2 linked regions of the Macaca mulatta genome follow. The protein of the gene in region 1 interacts with the protein of each later gene in a pairwise test. Links are inferred from orthologs where the notes say so. Each region holds a gene or a part of one and is shown on either strand. Other genes may lie near its edges. The genes, in order: FIP1L1 and CPSF4.

The links.
Region 2: the proteins of FIP1L1 (region 1) and CPSF4 interact in binary tests that used the Homo sapiens proteins (3 or more experiments, as listed by UniProt). The two-hybrid records come from large-scale screens. The link is inferred for Macaca mulatta from reciprocal best matches to the Homo sapiens genes FIP1L1 and CPSF4.

Annotation. Positions count from the first base shown.
Region 1 is NC_133410.1:80,107,466-80,115,557, reverse strand, and holds part of FIP1L1 (pre-mRNA 3'-end-processing factor FIP1), read left to right. Parts: intron 1-3,626; coding exon 3,627-3,691; intron 3,692-4,341; coding exon 4,342-4,449; intron 4,450-4,821; coding exon 4,822-4,952; intron 4,953-5,241; coding exon 5,242-5,310; intron 5,311-8,092.
Region 2 is NC_133408.1:46,665,712-46,674,447, forward strand, and holds the start of CPSF4 (cleavage and polyadenylation specificity factor subunit 4), read left to right. Parts: upstream 1-3,408; 5' UTR 3,409-3,519; coding exon 3,520-3,622; exon of another isoform or gene 3,623-3,704; intron 3,705-3,862; exon of another isoform or gene 3,863-4,033; intron 4,034-7,177; exon of another isoform or gene 7,178-7,474; intron 7,475-7,767; exon of another isoform or gene 7,768-8,209; intron 8,210-8,736. UniProt on the Homo sapiens protein: Component of the cleavage and polyadenylation specificity factor (CPSF) complex that play a key role in pre-mRNA 3'-end formation, recognizing the AAUAAA signal sequence and interacting with poly(A) polymerase and other factors to bring about cleavage and poly(A) addition.

The sequences.
Region 1 (8,092 bases):
ATTTATATACTCAATAAATACTTTTTAAAGGCATAATTTATTTGGCACTGTGTTAAGTAGCAAAGATAATGTGCCTTTATTAAACCATCTATGATCATTCCATTATTATATTTTTTTTACATTTACCGTGCTACAAAAGAACTCTTGGTAAAATCATGATGAAATTTCCTGGAGTCAACAAATTAGATAGAGTTACATGAAAGCAGCAATTTTTTTATTTGTGAATGTATTAATTGATGAGAATACAAGAAGTTATTATTTTCCAGAGGTAGTGAGGAAAACAGACATGTGAGTAAATATTTTCAGTGCAACATAAGTGCTACAATAGAAACATGTACAAAGTGATTAGAAAAGTTTGAGAGGAGAGTTGCTGAAAGCCTACAGGTATTGAAGAGAAGATCCCAGAGGTGACATTTGAATTTGAATAGTTTTTGAGATGGGAGACAGTGGTTTTTAGGTGGAGGACACTGCTTAAAAATAAATGTAGTAGATGCATGGCTTGGAGGAAGTACATGGCTGGAGGATAAGGTAGATGAAAAGAGATGGTTGAAATCACTTATGAAAGGAGTTAGGATGCATTTGCTATGTCTTTGTAGACCTTGCAGGGTTGTCCAACCAGCCGACGTTATGTTGTTGTTGTTGTTGTTGTTGTTGTTGTTCTGTTTTGGTTTGTTTTAGGCTTTTAGCTGCCCAAAGCCGTGGTTTTTAGTTTCTGTCTCCAGTGATAAGTGGAAAAGAGGGTTGATGAAGGGGCTTTACTGGCCTAACCAGAACAGAAACTGAGGACCTATGACTGTATTCTCTCACTTAGACACCCCGATTAGGTTTTTAGATAGATTATATTATTTGAAAAGGTATTACCTTTAGACACTTTAGATTTCTATAGAGTAGAAACTATTGTAGCATCAGTAGTTGAGATGGGTTAGATGGAGAGACATTGACTAATAGATGTGAAGTAGTTGTCCAGGTGAGATGATAATCTAGACTAAGGCAGCAGTAGTAGAGAGATGAATGGGAAAATAGTATATTTGAATATTTGAGAAACAAATATAGTCAGGCATGTGGTATACACCTGTAGTCCCATGGACTTGGGAGGCTGAGGTAGGAGGATCGCTTGAGCCTTGGAGTTTCAGGGCAGCCTGGGCCATATAGTAAGATCTTGTCTCAAAGAATAAAAAGAAAGAAATAACAAATAACATGGGTAACTGGTTGGTTGTGGATGGAGGAGGAGATAAAGGGACTTAAAGATTTCTAGAGCAGTTAATTGGGTCCAGGTGGGCGCTACTGCTCCCACCTCCCACAAAATAGATTCATTTGATATGTTTATTTTGAAATTCCTATAGAAAATCCAAGTATAGGATCTAGCATTTAGAGTGGTCTGAGAGTTCATGGGGATCTATTGGACATTATATCAAATTTGCCTCTGCAAATTTTCATACCACTAAGCTTCTCTACGCAGAATGAATACAAAGGCTTGTGGCTTGAAAAAGAAAAATGATGTTTTAAAAGGCAGAATGGGGAATAGAAAGTAGCTAGATGGAAAGCAAAGAAGCTCATCTATTGAAGACTTAGGGCTAAGCCTTTTATAAAAATGCCATTTTATTCTATAGCAGTCCTGTAAGAGAACAGTTTAGAGAAAATCCTTGATTTTTCTACATTTGTAGAAAAATCATGTACATCATATGTAGATAGCACTAAGTCACTTTTGCTGAATTTGGATTGTTAAAATGTAAACATCGTGAAGGCAGGGACCAAATTTGTCCAGCTCCTCATACTTTTTCCTTAGCCTAGAATCATACCTGACATGGTTTTGGTGCTCAGTAAGCATTACATGAATTAATCAGTCTATAAAGTGATTATTTCAAGTTGGTGATGATAGTACTGCTTGACAGTAATATTTGGTCCACTTTGTAATTCTTGCATTTCTAGCTGTGAAGCTACAATTATTTGATACAATTACTTAAACATTTTATTGCATTTACATTTTTCTTTTTTAAGTGGAAAAGAAAAATGACAGTGCAAATGTAACTCAACCTAAGTCTTATATTTAGTACATTAGAGACAAAAGATGGAAGTAATTATTATTAGACCCAAAGCAGTGAATCTAAAGTCCAGATGGCTGAACTTCTGAGAGAAAAGAACCAAATATGCCACATGAATGTAATGTGAGAAATATATCATTGAAAATACCTATGACTTGAGGTCTTACTGGTATCTTTTTTTTTTTGAGACGGAGTCTCGCTCTGTGGCCCAGGCTGGAGTGCAGTGGCGTGTTCTCGGCTCACTGCAAGCTCTGCCTCCTGGGTTCATGCCATTGCCCTGCCTCAGCCTCCTGAGTAGCTGGGACTACAGGTGCCCGCCACCACGCCTGGCTAATTTTTTCTATTTTTTAGTAGAGGGGGGGTTTCACCGTATTAGCCAGGATGGTCTCGATCTCCTGACCTCGTGATTTGCCCGTCTCAGCCTCCCAAAGTGCTGGGATTACAGGTGTGAGCCATCGCCTGCCGTCTTACTGATATCTTTTTGTTCAGTGGGAGTTGGTCCTTCTTTGCCCATTCCTGTTTTCTTCTAATTTCCCTAGTAACAGAAAAGTCTATTTTAATTAGTATATTTGATAATACTACGCATATATAAGAATCCATTATATAAAAAAAGTAAAGAACTATCTGTAACCCCTTACAGAAAATTTATATGAGGCTCATTTATACAAGTATAAATGCAATGAAATATTCAAATAATTATATACGAGTCTTAGATGTCTTGGCCAAGATTACACTAACAACTGACAAAACATTTGAATGTGGATTGGTCCAACTTCAGAAATTTTTTTCTTTATCACTGTGTATTATATTACATCTAAAAAGGTGCAGCTTAATACTTTTTTCAAATATATGCATTCATGTAACTACAACCAGATCAAGATACGAAACATAATTGGCATCCTAGAAGTTTCTCTCATTTTTCCTCTTGGTCATTAACCACCCACCACCGGTAAACACTGTTCTGCTTTCATGCTAGACTTATTTTTGAATTTCATGACAATAAATTTCTATTATGAACTCCATGAATGGTTGAAAAAGGATTTATTAACAATATCAACTGTGGTAAGAACTGAAAGGCCACTGGATTTAACAACAAGTTGGAGGAATTTTACTTATGCTTAAGATTGCTGTATGTGTAATAACTGGCAGGCAAGGAAATGAAGAAAAGGGGTATAAACTATGTTTCCCTTCTTAGCCTTATTTCTTGTGAAGTTTGTTACAGTAGAATGTTGAGTTAGTGGCAAAGAGATTTTTGAAATGGAAACAAGTCAGTTTTTTTTTTAATGTTTTTGCCTTTTATTGAGCAGGTGACTTTAGAAACTAGTTTAAAATGTTTTTTAAAATGTGTATTAGCTGGGCACGGTGACTCACTCTTGTAATCTCAGCATTTTGGGAAGCCAAGGCGGGAGGATTGCTTGAGCTCAGGAGTTCGAGACCAGCCTGGATGACATGCTGTGAGATCTCATCTATCCAAAATTTAAAAAATAAAAATAGAAATTATAAAAAATAGAAAAATAAAAATAGAAATATTACTGCTTTGTTTAAGCTTTTCAGGATAATTTTTGGTTTTTTGTTTGTTTTTAGGAGTTATGGTACAGCACCTGTAAATCTTAACATCAAGACAGGAGGAAGAGTTTATGGAACTACAGGTAAAGTTTGTATTTTCTGTTGCATCAGTAGAGAAATAAGGCACATATCTTAAATAGGTCTTAATCACTCTTTTTTTAGTGGGACACAGAGTCTGACTTTGTCACCCAGACTGGAGTACAGTGGCGCAATCTTAGTTCACTGCACCCTCCATCTTCCAGGCTCAAACCATCCTCCCACTTCACCTTCTCAAATAGCTGGGACTGTGGGCGTGCACCACCATGCTTGGCCAATTTTTGTGTTTTTATGTAGAGACCGGGTCTCGCCATGTTGTTCAGGCTGGTTTTGAACTTTTGAGCTTAAGTGATCTGCCTGCCTTGGCCTCCCAGACTGTTGGGATTCCAAGTGTGCGCTGCTGCGCCTGGCCAAGGTGATAATATAATAGCTCTTTTTAAAGGTAATTTTTGACCATACATCACAGGGACTGGTAAATTTTTTCTGTAAATAGTCCAGTAGCACATATTTTAGGCTCTGCTTTGTTTGGAATGCTTGCCAGGTTTTTTGCCAGGGATAGTAAAAAAATGTTTGTTTTCTGTTTGTGTGTGTATGTGTGCCAGGAATAGTAAAAAGGTGTTTATATCTTCTGTTTGTCTATGGTATGTCCCAGCTTCTTGCAAGTGTAGCTCCTTCATTTTGTAATTTTATAAAACAGGAACAAAAGTCAAAGGAGTAGACCTTGATGCACCTGGAAGCATTAATGGAGTTCCACTTTTAGAGGTAGATTTGGATTCTTTTGAAGATAAACCATGGCGTAAACCTGGTAAGACTGTTGTGGATTATATTAATTTCAATATTTTTAGTGTGAAGTCATCAGAAAATTTTTTGAGCATCAATTTAGAATTTTATTTTTTCATTATAATTTTAATTGTCTTAAGCAAATGATGAGTAATAGTGACTTGGATTATTAAATCTTACTGGCGGCCTCATATTACTTAAAATGTAGACTTTATTATAATGACATTTCTAAAGGAAATAATTTGATCAAAAATTTTATGGTCTTTTTGCCACCATAAATGATAGAGTGATAACTGATAGAAGTCTAAATTTATATTTTTATAGTTTAGTATATTTTTGATGCTGCATAAAAATAGAGCTGAAATATTTGTACACTAAAGATGTGTTTTATCTTTAGGTGCTGATCTTTCTGATTATTTTAATTATGGGTTTAATGAAGATACCTGGAAAGCTTACTGTGAAAAACAAAAAAGGATACGAATGGGACTTGAAGTTATACCAGTAACTTCTACTACAAATAAAATTACGGTAATTAAGAAATACTCCGGAATACCCTTGGCTTGTCTACCGTCCCACTTTTACTCCCCAAATAAATCACTTCCCTATAAAAGTGGTTAAATGATATACGATAGTTTAAAAATTCCATTTTGTTTACCATGTTTGTTTTTCCCTTCCCTCCCTTTTAGAGTTTTGTATTAATGATTATCTGATGTTCTTACTTTCAAATCACAGACTAGCCACAGCTAGTTTGTCTTTATATGGCCTATTAATTAAATATTATGTGGTATCTTAATGGGGAATATGTTATTTAACTTAGGCCGAAGACTGTACTATGGAAGTTACACCAGGTGCAGAGATCCAAGATGGCAGATTCAATCTTTTTAAGGTGAATTTTAGTAAATTATCCTTGGTTGCTCTCATTTTTTGTTCTTGAGTCTGCTCCCATACCACTACTCAAGGGACAAGATTAAAGTGGAAATAGCTACCTTTTTTCCAAACCTTCAGCTTCCTGGTGACTTACAAATTTGCTGATTGTTGTTTTATCTCCACTTTTGCAAGCATGTGAATTTATAGCCTATTATACTAACAAATGCCAAGTAAAACTGTTCTTTGCTATATGTTGTGATTTCATTTTGAGTTGTAATACGTGTTTGTAGGATAGAAAAGTTAGTGGCAACAGATTAAGCTCTCATTGTAGATAATACTCTAATCTTTATCAACAGAATTGGAGACTTTTTTGTTTTCTTTAAAAAAAACGGTAAGGAAGTGGCATACTGTTTATCTCTATGATACTGGTAACACTGATACCATTGGTGTAATGCCCCGATAGCTCAAGATATCTTCAAAAATCTTAGACATTCTCTGAGAGGCTTTAAGAACTCAACAGAATGAGATAAAGCCATTGATTTTAAAAATTGGTACTTGAAAGGAGTAGGTTTATGTGAGAGACTTTGAGGTTGATACTACAACTTGTGTATCAAGTCTCGTTTCTGGCTTCTCCATTGCATGGTATGATCACAGACCCAGTCCAAAGAATAATACTATATTGTCATAGTTCTTTTATGGAAAACTGGTTGTGTACTCTTTTTTCTTTACCTTGATGGTTGATTATTGTATTGAATGACACTGAGATGAAGATTGGGAGTGGCTTTTAGATTGGGTTATATACTCAGGGAACTTTAGTGGACTGGAAAAAGACCTCTGCTCCCCTTTTGGGTTTGCAGCCCTGTCCACCAGAATACTGCCTTATGCAGTGTGTGTGCTGTGTCTGCAGATAAACCACTCTACTGTACACAGTTCTATATAGATAATTTTATTTTTAATTTACATTCTACTTTGCATATTTGGTTCTTTTGCAAATATTTTGAAAGTGTGTGGTGATGTCTGTTGTATTTTAAAGGGTCATCAGGTTTTTTTGTGTTATATTGTCTATAATGGCATTGAATATATTAAACTTAACTACAATGGGTAGAAAAGTTGTCTTAATGAACTAGTTCATTAGCAGCAGTGCATTTTATTTTATTTTTTAATAGAAACGAGAACTGCCATCATAAACTGTTAGCTTCTGTATACTTTATTTTTTGTAGTAGACTTTTAAAAAGAGAATAAAAAGAAACTCCTAGGGGTCAGTCTTATTGAAGGTAGCCATTATGAATGTGTATTTTATATACATACTGTGTACTGAAAAACTTATTTTGAAGTTTCTTTTGGTTATGTGAGAGGAGGTCAGAGTGTTCCATTCTGATTGGATTCTGAATGAAAGATTTGAATTTGATGGGTACAGTCTTCATGGTTTTCTTGCCTTGACAGTGTGTTTAAATACTAATATGTTTGGTAGAAATACTGATTTGGGAAGAGGGTGTGTATTAAGACTATGTGTGGCAAACATTTTTTCTTTATGTATATTGTGGTCTGTAAGAAATGTTGGAAATAGGGCCATAATGAGCAGGACATTGATTTTAAACTAGCCTGCAAACATTTGTGTGGCCAATAGGAAGCTGTTTGAAAGTTCCTGAGCAGTAGAATGAAGTGCAGATCTGGTTTTTAGAAAAGGAACTGGCAGCAGGATGGGCTGTAGAATGAAAGGGATATGAAATAGATAGGGTTATGTTGCCATACTATAGGAATGAAATGAACTAGGGCCTGAACTCACTTACGAGGGTGAATGGGCAAAGGAGTGGATTTAAGAATTAAAATTTATTTTCATATCTACTGCAAATAGAATTTTTTCATCCTTAAGTGTGAGACAACCCATCAGCCTCTTTAAGATAACTTTATTTACTATTCATTAAATAATTTTCAAACCCAGTAACAAGTAGAATAGTACACATGAACCCTTAGGTGCTTATGCAGCTTCAACACTTAACGGTGTTTTGACATTCTTGAGGTAACAGCCTTTTATATACTTCAATATGATTAAAGTTTTACTAAAAAGCAAAATAAAGGAAAAAATTTAACAGGTGTAAAAATAAAGCCACTCATTTGGGTGCAAAAACAATTGTGTAATAATTTAATTAGAGTGAGGGGCAAGAGAGAAGTGACTAGTGGGAATAGATAATATGTATGCATGAGAAAACACTGACTACAACGATTTCTTAAAATATTTTTTATTCATTTGTGCGCACACGCATAGCTCTTTCCCCCCCCCCCCCGCCCCCAACTGTGAATCTATGAGCTTTGTCACCAGTTTTCTGAAAATTTACAGTTACGTGTCTTGGTCTGTTTTCATCCATTGTACCAAGCACTCAGTTACGCCGTCTCGATTTGGAAGCACTTATGCTTCACTTGTGGAACACTTTCTCTTTTACTTTTTTCTCTGCTTTCTGTTCTATTCTAGATAAATATTGGATATCTTCGAATGGTCTTCTAAATTTTTTTTATTGTTTTTTTCGTCTTTTCCATTATCTGGGAGAATTTTTTATTCTTAAAATGTTTCCACTTAGTTTTCATTTCTGCTGTTAATTTCCAAGAAAAGTTTTCTTTATTATTTAGTTGTGGCATCTTATTGTTCATGCCTACAGTAATGCAATATCTTTTTCCCCCCTCTTTCAAAGGATATTAATGATAGGCTGTTTTGTTTCTGTTAGATTTTCTTTTCCTGCATAGTCTGTTTTCAACTTGATTATTTTAGTTAGTACTTTTAGCTTCTGACTTTGACTTTCCTGAGA
Region 2 (8,736 bases), on another chromosome or scaffold:
CTCCAGGGCCTGGAATATATCAGGAAAAGTAAGAGAGTCAACTCAGTTCCTAGTCACAAAAGGCAGAAAGAAAGAAGTGCTTAGAAGTATGGGCCCAGGCTGGGCGCGATGGCTCACGCGTGTAATCCCAGGACTTGGGGAGGTCGGGGCCAGCATATCACTTGAGGTCAGGAGTTTGAGACCAGCCTGGCCAACATGGTAAAACCCTGTCACTATGAAAAATACAAAAATTAGCCAGGCATGGTGGTTTTTACAGCCAGGTGCGCCTGTAATCCCAGCTACTCAGGAGACTGAGTCAGGAGAATCACTGGAACCCGGGAGATGGAGCTTGCAGTGAGCTGAGATTGCGCCACCATACTCCAGCCGGGTGACAAAGTGAGACTCTGTCTCAAAAAAACAAAACCAAACCAACCAAACAAACGAACAAAAAAAAGAACAGGCCAGGAACGGTGGCTCATGCCTGTACTCCCAGCACTTTGGGAGGCCAAGGTGGGCAGATCAGTTCAAGACCAGCCTGGTGAAACTCCATCTGTACTAAAAATAGAAAAAAAATGAGCTGGATGTGGTGCTACATGTCTAATCCCAGCTACTCAGGAGTCTGAGGTAGGAGAATCACTTGAACCCAGGAGACCGAGCTTGCAGTGAGCTGAGATCACGCCACTGCGCTCCAGCCTGAGTGACACAGTGAGACTCTGTATCAGAAAAATAATAATAATAATAAATAAAATAAGAAGTATGGGCCCAAAGGTTAGAAAGCCTAGGTTCAGGTCAGACATAGCTCACTGCAGCCTCACCCTCCTGTGCTCAAGCGATCCTCCCATTTCAGCCTCCTGAGTAGCTGGAACGACAGGTGCGTGCCACCACGCCTAATTTCATTTTTTGGTCGAGATGGGGTCTTGCTATGTGCCCAGGCTGGTCTCGAACTCCTGGACTCAAGCAATCCTCTCACCTTGACCTCCCAAAGCACTGGGATTACAGGAATGAGCCACCATGCCCAGCCTAAAATATTTTGAAGTCTGGTTATATTAGAAGGTTGCCATTGGAAAAGTCTCACAAGTGATGGCAGATTGAACAGATTAAAAACTAGGCCCAGCAGGCCAGGAGCGGTGGCTCACGCCTGTAATCCAGGAACTTTGGGAGGCAAAGGTGGGTGGATCACCTGAGGTCAGGAGTTCGAGACCAGCCTGACATGGTGAACCCCATCTCTACTAAAAATACAAAAATTAGCTGGGCATGACAGCATGTCCCTGTAATCCCAGCTACTCGGGAGGCTGAGGCAGGAGAATCACTTGAACGTGGGAAGCAGAGGTTGCAGTGAGCCAAGATAGCGCCATTGCACTCCAGCCTGAGCAACACAGCAAGACTCTGTCTCAAAAAAACCAACAACGACAACAAACAAAAAACTAGGCCCAGCAAGGGGAGAGACTTGCTGGGGTCCTGCAGCAGTGCAGTGGGTGAGACTGGCCAGTTTGGCCTGGGCTGGCTTAGAACTCAGGTCCATGTAACGTATGGACAGACTCTCCTGACTAGCACCTTTGTGAAACTAGTGCAGGGGGCCTTTATCATTCTGCATCTGGCAAGCCCTGCCACTCCTTCTTACAAGCATGGTGTTTATGTAATTTTCTTTTTATGGGAATGGGGTCTTCATGTTGCCCAGGCTGGAGTGCGATGGCACAGTGGCAAACGCACAATCACTGCAACCTCCAACTTCTGGACTCAAGTGATCCTCCTACCTCAGCCTCCCAATTAACTAGCACTACTGGTGCACACCACCATACCCAGCTAATTTTTTGTAGAGATGTAGTCTCCCTATGTTGCCAGGCTGGTCTAGTACTCCTGGCCTCAAGCAATCCTCCAGCCTTGGTCTCCCAAAGTGTTGGGATTGCAAGCGTAAGCCTCCATGCCCTGCCTTATGTGCATTAATTACAATACACAGAATTACAAAACAAAAAGCAATGATATTGAAATGGCATCAAAATGCTTTAAAAACAAATTTCTGCTATACTAGCATAGATGCTTATTTTCAATGCATTAAATAACAAGACCCTACAATAATTTCAAAGCAGTAACGAATGTAAGTGACAGCTTAAGATACCACCTTGTAGGTGCTGCACAAACTGTTTTTTTTTTTTTTGAGTCTCACTCTGTCGCCAGGCTGGAGTGGGGTGGTGCCATCTCGGCTCAATGCAACCTCTGCCTCCCGGGTTCAAGCGATGCTCATGCCTCAGCCTCCCAAGTAGCTGGGATTACAGGCACGCACCACCACTCCCGACTAATTTTTATATTTTTAGTAGAGACGGGGTTTTGCCATGCTGTCCAGCCTGGTCTTGAACTCCTGACCTCAAGTGATCCTCCTGCGTCGGCCTCCTAAAGTGCTGGAGTGACGGGTGTGAGCCATCACGCCTGGCCCTGCACAAACTCTTATCTGGAACTATCATTTACACTCACCCCACCTTGAAATTATGACACAGTTTCAGGCACTGCTAAGGCTGCTCCAGCAATTGGGAAAGGAAATGCTAAATTTCACAGAGAAAATAGGGGTGTCATTTTGTTCCTATACAATTTCATTACCCCACCCTGGTTAGAAAACCCTGAATTAGACCATACAGTGGCTCATGCCTGTAATCCCAGCACTTTGGGAGGCCCAGGCGAGTCGATCGCTTGGGGCTTGGGGCTAGGAGTTCAAGACCAGCCTGGGCAACATAGCAAGGCCCCCATCTCCACAAAAATTAAAAATAAAAATTTAAAAATTAGCCAAGCGTGGTGGTGCAGCTACTCAAGAGGCTGAGGTGGGAGGATCGCTTGAGCCTGAGAAGTTGAAGCTGCAGTGAGCTATGATCGTACCGCTGTACTCCAGCCTGGGCCACCTAGCGAGAAAAGAAAAAACCCTGAATTAGAGACACGCTGCGGCCGTCCTTCTTCGGAGAGACCCGCCCCTCCTCAGACGCCTACCCGGACCCTCAGGCCAACGCCGACCCCTCTCCACACAGACTTTTGCAGCCTCAGTTTCCCTCCTCGGACGCCCCTGGCTCCAATCCTGGTTCGGGCACTTCCTTCCCCTCTGGCGTGTCTCTGCCCGGATCCCGGGGTTCCTGCGAGGATCACACAAGAACTCACTTGAAGTGTCCGGCGCAGTGCACTCCGACGGGGCTCTCTACCCGGTCCCCGCGACGGACCCGGCTCTCCCACGGATCACCCTCTCCCCTGACGCGCAAGCGCAGCCCGCGTCGCCGACACACGCGGCTGGTTTCAGGTTTCCGGCGAGACTAGGCCGGCGTTCGGCTGGCGGCTAGCCGGGACTAGCGGAGCGGCGGGACTCCGCGCTCGATTGGCAGTGCCTGGACAGGCGCAAGAACCGGCGCGGGCTCTGGGCGCTCCCGGCATCCCTCGGGCGGCGGCGGCGGCGGCGGCTGCGAGGCGCAGGAGGAGCGTGTGCGGCGGGCCCGGCGGCGGGTAGAGAGGCGAGAGGGCTGCAGGAGACCGAGGGGGAGCCGGGCCGGTGGGGCCGCCGCCGCCGCCATGCAGGAAATAATCGCCAGCGTGGACCACATCAAGTTTGACTTGGAGATCGCAGTGGAGCAGCAGCTCGGGGCGCAGCCGCTGCCCTTCCCCGGCATGGACAGTGAGCGCGGGGCCCTGGCGGGAGGGCGAGAGCGACTCGAACCCCGGACCCTCTCCTCTGTGTTCCCGGGACTCCTTCGCCTCGGTCCTGAGACCTCCCCCGGCTTCCTCTGGATCCTGGGACCCCTCCCCTTCGGTCGCGGGACTCCTCCCTCTATGTCTTGAGAGTCCCTCCCACCTCCTCCGGGTCCTGGGACCCTCCCCTTTAGTTCCCGAACTCCCTCATCTGTGATCCGGGACTCTTCTCACTCCATCCTGAGACCTCCTCTTCTGGATCCCGGGACGCTCCCCCTTGGTTCCAGGACTCCTGACTCCCAGGCCCCCATTTCCACCGTCTGGGGACCCCTTTTCCCCTCACTCGAACTCAGGAGTTCTCTGCCTCGGATCTTTGGCCCCCTGCGGCTGTTTAAAGGTAATCTGTAGGCGGGTAGGACCTTGTGCGTTCGCTTAATTCTTGAATAAGGGTGGGTTATCCTGGATTGGAACTCTCCCTCAACACTCTCCCAGCTACAGGAGAGTACTAGGATATCGCACCCCCTACCTCCCAACCCCGCTACATTGAGCGTCTCTTCTTTTTGCTTTCATCAAAACTAGGCTGTTGGAGGAGGCGTGCTGAGGGAAGGACCACCTCTCTGTAGGAGACCCCAGCTAGACTCTTAAACTTCCTTCTAGGACTCTCTCTCCTGGGAGCTCATCCTTAGTTTTTGGCCTGTCCCTACTTTTTTCTGGACCCCAACTCTGAGTTGTTCATCACACCCAGCAGCTGGTGTGGTCCCTTAGCCTGAACTCCCTTCACTCCTCCCTTTCACATGGTGGCTCCTGGCTCCCCATATCTTGTACTTTAAAAGAAACCGGTAGTTTTCTTTGTGTCTTCTTTCCTATCCGGACACACTTGAAATCTAATGCTATAGCCTTAAAGTTCGCGGGCTTGTGGAAGTCACTGAGTTCAATCCACAGATGGGGAAACTGAGACCCAAGCAGGGGAAGGGACTTGCTGACGACCACTCAGTGCATAGCAGAGCCAGGCAAGTTCTCCAGTGTTGTGTGCTGTCGCCCCGCACTACCAGCGGGGTCTCCCGCACTACCAGCGGGGTCTCCCAGCAGCCTCTCTCCCCTCAGGCGGCCACACCTTCTCATGCACATGTGACCTCTGAGTCTGTCCCTTTCTGTGGTTTTTTTGTTGTTGTTTGTTTGCTTTTGAGACAGGGGCTTCTTTTTTGCCCAGGCTGGGTGCAGTGGCGCAATCATGGCTCAATGCAGCCTCGACTTCCCAGGCTCTGACAATCCTCCCACCTCAGTTTCCCAAGTAGTTGGGACCACAGGTGTGCACCAACACGCCTGGCAAATTTTGTGTGTGTGTGTTTCTTGGTAGAGACACTGTTTCACCATGTTTCCCAGGGTTGGTCTTGAACTCCTGGGCTCAAGCGATCCTTTCACCTCGGCCTTCAGAAGTACTGGGATTACAGGCATGAGCCACCACACCTGGCCTATATTGGCCTATATATATATATATATATGTGTGTGTGTGTGTGTGTGTGTGTATATATAAATTTTTTTTGCTGCCTGTCCCACAACTTTACATGGTGATACTTCTGTACAAGATAGTTTCGTTGGAAGTTAAGTCATCAAGAAAAACAAGATAGTGCTTATAAAGAGGCATCATCAGACCACCCTATTTGACACACGCACAAACACCATCGCCACTGTACACCCCCTAAAAAGCAGCTGCTGAAATTCACACACACACACCCCCTCTTACCTACCCCTCGAGTCCTGTGATAACTTCATCCCTGCACATGTGGCCTTTTCCTGTCTCTTTTTTTTTGAGATGGAGTTTCGCTGTTGTTGCCCAGGCTGGAGTGCAATGGCGCGATCTCAGCTTACCGCAACCTCCATCTCCCGGGTTCAAGCAATTCTCCTGCCTCGGCCTCCTGAGTAGCTGGGATTATAGCCTCCCGCCACCATGCCCAACTAATTTTTGTATTTTCAGTAGAGATGAGGTTTCACCATGTTGGCCAGGCTGGTCTTGAACTCCTGACCTCAAATGATCCGCCTGCCTTGGCCTCCCAAAGTGCTGGGATTACGGGCGTGAGCCACTGCGCCCAGTCGGCCTTTTCCTGTCTTGATGGCACTGGCTTGAGACCATGGAACCACCCATGCAGGGCAGATCTTTCCCTTCCATCCTTCTGCCACCTGACAGATCCACAAGCCTGTGAGGGGAGGTACAGTGGTGAGGGGCCCACATACCTGTTCTTGAGGCCAGGGACACGCCTGGCCCTGGGTGCTGCCCCAGCCAGGGCTTCAGAGTCGGTAGGCACCCTCCACACTCACTGCTTGTCCATATCCTGTTCAGTTAAAGCCCAGTGAGGCCACAGCCCTTCCTCACCCATCCCTCCTCTTCATGCCCATCTGAGGTTTGGGAATAACTGTCACTTTGCCCATAAGGCATACTCATCCCATCCACATGAGGCTCAGTTCCCAGAACTGTGGATTTCTGAGCAGAAACAACTCTAACCTCTGAAGAGAAAGACCAGACCAGAGATACTTTCAGAATTTTTTTTTTTTTTTTTTTTTTTTTTTTTTTTTTTGGAGACAGAGTCTTGCTCTTGTTGCCCAGGCTGGAGCACAGTGATGCAATCTTGGCTCACTGCAACCTCTGCCTCTGGGTTCAAGCGATTCTCCTGCCTCAGCCTCCCGAGTAGCTGGGATTACAGGCATGTGCCACCACGCCTGGCTAATTTTTGCATTTTTAGTAGAGACGGGGTTTCTCTACATGAACTCCTGACGGCAAGTGATCCACCCGGCAAGTGATCCACCCGCCGCAAGTGATCCACCCGCCTCGGCCTCCGGAAGTGCTAGGATTACAGACGTGAGTCACCACACCTGGCCACTTTCAGACTTTTTGAAATGCAAATAGAGTGACCTCCCTGTGACAGCCAAGGAATCTTTTGTGATTTAGTAAGGGGGGGCACGTTAAGTGGACTTCAGAGATGCTGTCATTGGTTTTTCAGCAATTCTAAAATGGTTACTTGTAAGGAAACTGTTTCTGATGCCAAGGTCAGTTTAGTCTGGAAACCGGGTGCTGGTGAATTCCTGGACTCATCAGAACAGCTGGTCCCTGGAGCCCACTGAATTCCAGCACACTCTTAACTGTGGGAATGAAAGGCTGTGCTTTTTTTTTTCTTTTTTCTTTTTGTTAACAAGCAACATAATCAAAAACAAAAGCACAACAACCTTAAAGCTGAAACAGCAATAAGTCAAACTGCTGCGGCAGTTCACAGATGTACCTGGGGTACATGCTTCCTCATTTCGAGGCAGGACATAGGCACATGACTGTGCATTTAGGTATATATGTGACCAAAAAGAATGAGAGAAATGAATCCCAGCACTTTGGGAGGCCGAGGCGGGCGGATCACAAGGTCAGGAGATCGAGACCACGGTGAAACCCCGTCTCTACTAAAAATACAAAATATTAGCCGGGCGTGGTGGCGGGCGCCTGTAGTCCCAGCTACTCAGGAGGCTGAGGCAGAATAGCATGAACCCGGGAGGCGGAGCTTGCAGTGAGCCAAGATCGCACCACTGCACTCCAGCCTGGGTAACAGAGTGAGACTCCGTCTCAAAAAAAAAAAAAAAAAGAATGAGAGAAATGGAAAACACTGGAGAACAGAAAGTATCAAGAACCTTTCATTAGGCAGTCCCAAAGCGCTCTGCTCTTTTCCTCTTCTCTACCTCTTTATCCTCTGTGGTTCCAGTTCCAGCTGAACTTGTGACAATCCCAAATCGCTCCTTCCTCTTTTTCAGTTTCTTGTCATCTTCAGACTTTCTGGAGATTGAAGAGACATTCAAACCAAATCTTTTTTTTTTTTTTTTTTTTTGAGACGGAGTCTCGCTCTGTCGCCCGGGCTGGAGTGCAGTGGCCGGATCTCAGCTCACTGCAAGCTCCGCCTCCCGGGTTTACGCCATTCTCCTGCCTTAGCCTCCCAAGTAGCTGGGACTACAGGCGCCTGCCACCTCGCCCGGCTAGTTTTTTGTATTTTTTAGTAGAGACAGGGTTTCACCGTGTTAGCCAGGATGGTCTCAATCTCCTGACCTCGTGATCCGCCCGTCTCAGCCTCCCAAAGTGCTAGGATTTCAGGCTTGAGCCACCGCGCCCGGCCCAAACCAAATCTTTGAGCTCTTTCCTTGGACTTATCCAAGTTAACCATAGGTTTGTTCTCAGGTGACAGACTTGTGTTGGAACTGAAGAAATCCCCAACCTAGCTGCCCAGGTAGCTTTCTTACTCTCCAAGCTCACACGTACACTGAATCGTTCAGCCCTCTTCTGCATTCTCTCAGAATGGTATTCAGATGTAATTTTCATTGAGTGGTATTTCAGATGTAATTTTCACCACTTTCTTCTCTGCTGCCACATCAACAGTTTTTTTTCAGGGGGTTCTTCCTCTTTGACAGGGGGTTTGTTTCTTCTTCTGTTTCATCTCCCAGTACATCTTCATTTGCCTCCCTTCAGCATGTTCTTCAAGATACGCCTGGAGTCTGTGGATAAGATCTTGCTTTATTCCCTTGGTCTCCAAACCACAAGTAAGACATTCTTGTTTAGTTCAGCAAGCTTCAGCTTATGGAGCTCCACCATCTCAGTTACCATCTTGTTACCCCCTCCGGGTGTGCTTTTTTAATAATTGTATGTGGGGTGGGTTGCGGTGGCTCACGCCTGTAATCCTAGCACTTTGGGAAGCCAAGGCAGGCAAATCACGAGGTCAGGAGTTCGAAACCAGCCTGTAATCATTGTATGTGGGCCAGGCGTGGTGGCTCACGTCTGTAATCCCAGCACTTTGGGAGGCCGAGGTAAGCGGATCACTTGAAGCCAGTAGTTTGAGACCAGCCTGGCCAACATGGCAAAACCCCCTCTCTACTAAAAATACAAAAAAATTAGCCAGGCGTGGTGGTGCACACCTATAATCCCAGCTACTCAGGAAGCTGAGGCAGGAGACTCTCTTGAACTGGGGAGGCGGAGGTTGCAGTGAGCCGAGATCGCACCACTGCACTCTAGTCTGGGTGACAGAGTGAGACTGTCTCAAAACACTAGAAAAAAATTGTATATGGATGTTGCATATTAAA